Linked DNA regions of Bombyx mori. Each later gene encodes a partner of the first gene's protein in a complex. Links are inferred from orthologs where the notes say so. Each region holds a gene or a part of one and is shown on either strand. Other genes may lie near its edges. The genes, in order: mediator of RNA polymerase II transcription subunit 20 and mediator of RNA polymerase II transcription subunit 9.

Region 1 (3,331 bases):
TTGTGTGGTATTCCTATAATTACATTCATAAAAATATACCGCGATGTATAATACTAATACTAATAAAAGTAATAACTCTATGTAAAGGTAGAAAGTAAACTTCTTGACTTCATACGTTATCTCAAATTCTTCTTTAACCTTATCCGGTGTATGAAAACTATCCCCGAATAAAAATACATGTTAGTGTAGCTTATTTTTGACACAGTTTGGCCAGACTGAAGGAAGAGTATCATTAAAAATAATAACGAAACAAATCTATTTATTATGTTTTTGATACAACTACAAAATCTACCATAAAAAAATCGTGAAGAGTGGATTATATTTAATAAACTGTTTCAATTATTAACTTGACAGCTTACAGCAATATCCAGTGCCAGAGAACAAGACCGGAACATATGTAGTGGAGTTACTTACAAAGCGTATCTTAGCATTAGGGGCGACACAACAAGGACAGTTCCTGGTTGATTGCGAGAGTTATTTATCACATCCACTCATGGGTACGTGTTTACTGAATCCAAGCTAAAAGTAAAAAGAAAGACACATTCCACTTAGCGATTTATAGAGAAATCACACAGCCCATCGCCAATACATGGATATGACATATTTGAAAATATTTCAGACATTACAAAGGTGTCAGCTAGTTTATTGTACTTAAAGTCCTCGTGGCCTATGTGGCCCGAAGGTGGGTACCAATTTTCGAATGAAATACGTACTTAACAAATATTCACGATTGACTTCCACAGTGAAGGAATAACATCGTGTAATAAAAATCGAACCCGCAAAGTTATAATTTGTGTAATTGCTGGCGGTAGGACGTCTTGTGAGTCCTCACGGTTACCACCATCACACCTATTTCTGCTGTGAAGCAGTAATGCTTTTTGGTTTAAAGGGTGGGGCAGCCGTTGTAACTATACTGAGACCTTAGAACTTATATCTCAAGGTGGGTGGGGCATTTATGTTGTAGATATCTATGAGCTCCAGTAACCACCATCCATCCACTTAACATCAGGTGGGATGAGAGCTCCCATCTAAGCAATAAAAAATAAAATGCAAGGAATTTATAAAAACCAAAGCTAATCGTGTACTTGATAGTTGAATTGAAAAGTTGATGAGATGCTGATACCAATATTTATTATCTTTTCATCAAATTCAGCCAGACCACTTAACGGTTACCATTACTTGCATACGCTTGTGGAAATTAACAATACGAAACACACTTACCTAAAGTTTTGTCTAATGCTGCTTTTAAAATTTCTGACAGCAAAAACGTAACTCAAATATTCCAGGTACAACAAAAACAGTACATATATTACACAACTCTGAGCAGCCTGCGTCTGTCTTCTCAATCCTTGAAAGTGGCACGAAAAATATTCACGTCATAGCTGACGGACTATTTGACTTGTTAATGATGAAGTTGTCTCAGCATTATACTTCTAAGAAACAAACCAAAATCGAGAGCAAAGGACCTAGGTTTGAGCTCGGAGATTTCTGTGTGAAGCTCGGATCAGTTACTATGAATCAGAATTTTAAAGGGATTTTGATTGAGGTGAGTGAATTGAATAATTAGTGAATAGCTATGTTAATATATGTGAACACTTGGAGGCATCCAGAACGTCCGTCACTATATCTATAATAGTACATAAAGATAGATGGAGAAATACGTTCCTAAAAAGAATACTTCCGTAATATTATGTTAAAAAAATCTTTGTTTTTTATAGATTGCTGTTGTTGTCAAAGTTTTCAAAATTTGCGTAGTGAATATTAGGGACCATGAAAATTATATCATACTTGACATTGGCTACCTTAATACATGAGGTTGAAGTGCCAATTATATTAGATAACTGTTACCTATTATTTAAAGTGGAACACCTTGGTGGCGTGGTGGTGCCTTGTGGCAGAAATATGCCCAAAGGTCATACCTAGTTTTGGGGATTGAATAGGCTTGATAATTATAACAATATGAAGCTATTTTTTCTATGGAAATTTAATTGTCAGGCATACATTAGGCATCTCTTTTTTTTGAGTTTTCTTAGTATTAGATGTTCGAGCTCACCGTCTATCTGGTGCTAATTAATACTCAAAACACATTTTTGGCCAAGGGGCAACGGCTAGACTTTCATATTGTTGCATAGACTAGACTGGATGTGTAGGAGTCAATCTATCAATCAATTCAATCTATCAATTCTCTTTTCCCTAACTCTCTGTCATTGCCTCAATATCTCAGACTATATTGATATTATTCACAGTATCATTAGAATATGTTCTATAATTTCTAGGTAGAATACAGACCATGCGTAATGGCTAATGCGGTCTGGGGTCTGCTTCGAGAGTTCCTTCAAGGATTGTTAGGGCCAACTGTTCCGGTCCAACCTCCTCAGCATCTAATAAGCAGAATGAACGAAATATACACTCCAATAGACACAATATATCAGTATTTAGAACATTTCAGTGCTTACAGAAAGACTACAGGGATGAGAACGACATGAACTAAGTTGACTGTTTTGTGTTTTTTTATTAAATAAATATGTACATTTTACTCATTCGTTTTTAGTTGTTCTATGACAAATGTCTGGTAGTTATGTTTTAAGTAGGGACATAGAGTCAAGAGATTTTTTTAGAAAGTTGTCTCTGGCAGGTAGATTGTTAATAATGTTAAACTTGAGAGGTTCGAACTTTAAATCTTTCTAATGACATTAATCAGACAAATATTGTTACTATTCTATGTAGTGATCTCGTGGGGTTATTCTAGATTCACCCAACTAGTAGGTGAGATCACGGGGCTCAAACCTGGCGTCGTTGCCAACATGAACCTTAGCAAGAGCCATGCTTCGCAGAATCTACCACCGGATCGGAAACGCGACCCACTGAGAAGATCTGGGGAGAAACTCAGTGGGCTTTGTCTGTGGATTCATTTACTTGCCAAGCCCTTCGTCGCAAGCGAAGGGTTCGACGAGAACGATGACCGGTGCTTGGGGTACCTAAAAGCACCGTTAGTGGATCGGGAGGATCCGAAATGACGTGTTTTGGGCGACGTCGACTGTTTATCATTCGGTCCGCAGGATCGGGAATGTAATTACCGGCGGCTACGATGAGAGGGTTCTCGTGTCGTGCTGCTTTCGCGAAATGGCGCACTGATGTCGACTGCATATACTTACTGATGGACTCTAGGTCCAGGTCGTCGTGGAGGTCGATGTTTCTGATGTACCACGGGGCTCCGACGGCTATCCTGCAAAAACGGGATTGAATGATTTGAAGGGGTTTCAAGTTAGTGCAGGCCGCGTGAGCGAACACTGCACTTGCATAGGTTATGACGGGGCGTATGCAAGTTTTG
Region 2 (3,436 bases), on another chromosome or scaffold:
AAATATAATTTCAGTAAAATTGTGGTTATTTACTGAAACTTTTTCAGTAAACTTTTTAGACGATCCCGAGAAGCAACGTCCAGCAGCTTTATTTCATTTTCCCACATTGGTGCACTTTCACAGATATTAAATTATTAATAAACCACCGTTATTGTTAAGTTACACATTTAATCCTGAATAAACACTAAATAGAAAAATAAAAAAATAAAAAAACTTCGTTCCTCGTATACCCTGTCAGAAACAAAATAACACACAGCAACACACTCTTAACTCATATTTTAATATACGTACGAACCATAGAAAATGATTCGGATAGAGCCTGCTACTGATGTTTCGAAGTGCCATTTGGCGTTCTTAAAATCTGATGCGATTTCAATACTAAAACGTATCACTACAGAGCTTCTTGATTTAGAAAGAATGGGGTATTTTATTACCGTAGCACCTCTGATTGATATATTTTTAATTAATTAAAATCACTAAGCACATATTATAATTAGTTGAGTAAAAACAATTACCTTCAGCGTGAATAAACTTAGTAGAATTTTAAAACTTTCGTAGAGTCGGGCCTAAAATTTATGCAGAATATAATGATAGGTAAGTAGTTTAAAAAATTTCTATTTTCTTAGTCGATTCCAAAATCTTGGCAGAAATAGGAGAAGATAACTTGTCTGAGTTGTGCTATTTTCTTAATCCAGTGTTTCTACAAGTTTAATAAATAGCAACGGTTTCGTATTCGTGAAAGTGGATAAGATTAAGAAAATGGAACCAAGTTGTTGAACTTGGTTTTTCAAGCGTTTCTAAAAAGTTAAGTGACGAGTAAACTCTCACTATTGTTCAGACTGATTAATTTATTTCGTCCCATAAAACACCGATGGTCATATAATTTCATTCAAATTCATTTTATTTCAAACATTTTTTTCATTTTATTTTACTTTTCTTTAACAGACATTACTACAGCCTTTGTAAAAAAAAGATGTGTGGTGTCGTGGGACACCGGATAGGAACGAAGTTCCTTATTATAAAAATATTAATTTCAAGTTCTATTCGAGGTCTAAAGAAAATAATTATTCAGGTATACATTTTTATTATTTTATTTTTTATTGATAAAAATATAATAATAATTACATTACAAAGTTATCAACTTTATTTTATTCACAATGATTTATAAAAAATTATAATAATAATATACAAAGAAACAGCTATTTATACGAATTATAATAATAACCGTCATCACGTAGACTATACATTAGACACTGTATAGCCATCGTACTAAGAATATACATAAAAAGAGAAAGGTATTATACACTACTCGCTTGTGTATATGACTGTCGCGCCTGCGCACGTCTTATTTAACGGTTTTATTCCACGGACTTTTTCTTACGGTTTTACTATCACATTTTTTTCAGTTCGGACGTGCAGCAAAATCCCTATCTCCTCCAAGCCTGCCGTAAAGAACTTCGTTCCAAAAATTTCGTGTATGAGCTTTATTTCCTTTGCTTGTCGAACACCGATCACACAAACATTCGACTTATTCTCCGCGATTTCGTCCATAGTCCATTGCTGTCCATAGATAACACAATAACACATCATTATTTTTGTCGTTTTCGGTTTTGTGATGGTAAAGAATCTACCTACTTTTTTACGTACCTAGGTTTATGTGTTTAATAACCATAATCTAATAAATTTATAAATTAATAAACAACGTACGTATAATAAAATCTGTTACATAATAAGCAAGTGAAAAATTGTGCTTAAAATTTGTACAATGGAAAACAACACAGATCATTCAGAACAGACGAACTACAGTCCCCTGACTGTTGAGGATGTAGATGTAGACTTTTTACCGATTGTATACGATATAATACGAAGGTATTTTGCGTATTATTTGAGACAAACTAGATTTGCTCAAGTTCATTTTGTATTTTCTGGTGCTTTAAATGTTTTTATTACAGCGTGGAGAGAGATTTTCACGACAACGCGTCGAAAATACGCGAGTCCCACGAGTGCAGTCATAGAGTTCTTGAATTACAAAAGAGGCTAGAAATAGCTAAAGCTCAGGTGAGATTACTTTCAAATACTGGAAACATACTTGGTATTTAACATTTGTAATGTAAAAATAATATGCTAAGTCAGCATAATTTTTGTATTTTGAGGAATCAAATTTATCATGAACTCATACACAAGTATCTGCCATAATATATCATCAACCAGTACACAATTATCTGCAATAATATATCACTCATTTCAGATCAGGAGGCTCCCAGGTATAGAATTCAACAAACACGACCAGCTGAAGCAATTTGAACTGCTCCGCACTCAGCTGAGATTAAAGCGTGAACTCTTACAGAAGTATCGGAATATGTGCTCATTTGAGACATCATTCAAGTGAAGATGCCTCTACGTGCGCTGCTTAAATACTTAGCCAATAATGAACGAATTGTACAGAAGATTGCAGAGTCCTACCCTGTACGAAGAGCAGCTCAGTTAGCTGTCTCAGTATTTTACAGAGGGAAGGAAAAGCTCTCTGATGTTGATCCACAGAAAGTTAATAAATTTATAGAGTTTTTAAAAAGGTTCAGTGCAAATTTGAAGGAAGGAGTACAGGATGCAAAAAAACAACTGAAAAAATAATAATAGTTCCTTGGATGTTTTTGGCTAACCATGGATTAGTTGCTGTTGATTGTAATTCACTATCAGTAGTGTCCTTTACATAATATAACTACTAAATTAGATAATAAAAAACTGTAACATAGTTAGAGCTATTTTTATTTCACTCACTCTGAACAAATCAATAAAAATATAAACTTTACTTAATTCTAAGAAAAAATCACAATATTGCAATGGTATTCATTGTAAATGTCAAAATATTGAAAATATATTTACTTTTAGAAAGCAGCTAGCTTCACTAATTTTATTGCGATTATAAGGTTTTCAGAGTTAAGGCAATGATGATTCAAAACTCTGATCTCATTAACTTTAATTTTTATTTTTAAGTGTTCAAATATTTTAAGTGACCCTAAAAGATTAAGCTTAGTGCTGTAAAAATATATACTTGAGTTTTAATTAGTGTTATAAGAACCTCGAGGTTATTAGTGATTTAACTTGCGAAAATATGCCGACCCATTGTGACAGGTGGATTAGCGGTATGGCTTGAGGCTGTCTAGATTAATCAGTGTCACTACGTCCCCAGAAAACGACAGGAGTTCTACCCTTGGTAGTAAAACTACTAAATTGTACTATGCAACAATCACTAGAAAAACCTTTAAGTTAGATAAAAAGATCAATATAGATTTTAGATTAATTTGAATAGTATGTGCCACTTTCCAGCCAGTCATTTTAGAGCAATAGTTTTGTATTAAAAGTAAAATATAGTTGTTTTACATTTAATACAGATTCTTCTCCGAATATTTGTAAAGTTATTTATCGATTGAATTAC

What was found.
Region 2: mediator of RNA polymerase II transcription subunit 20 (region 1) and mediator of RNA polymerase II transcription subunit 9 share a complex: the UniProt entries of both Drosophila melanogaster proteins name them as parts of the mediator complex. The link is inferred for Bombyx mori from reciprocal best matches to the Drosophila melanogaster genes MED20 and MED9.

What each region holds. Positions count from the first base shown.
Region 1 is NC_085134.1:1,809,157-1,812,487, reverse strand, and holds the end of mediator of RNA polymerase II transcription subunit 20, read left to right. Parts: intron 1-354; coding exon 355-497; intron 498-1,286; coding exon 1,287-1,546; intron 1,547-2,276; coding exon 2,277-2,486; 3' UTR 2,487-2,536; downstream 2,537-3,331. UniProt on the Drosophila melanogaster protein: Component of the Mediator complex, a coactivator involved in the regulated transcription of nearly all RNA polymerase II-dependent genes.
Region 2 is NC_085116.1:15,850,762-15,854,197, forward strand, and holds mediator of RNA polymerase II transcription subunit 9, read left to right. Parts: upstream 1-1,488; 5' UTR 1,489-1,765; coding exon 1,766-1,869; intron 1,870-1,952; coding exon 1,953-2,058; intron 2,059-2,248; coding exon 2,249-2,389; 3' UTR 2,390-2,752; downstream 2,753-3,436. UniProt on the Drosophila melanogaster protein: Component of the Mediator complex, a coactivator involved in the regulated transcription of nearly all RNA polymerase II-dependent genes.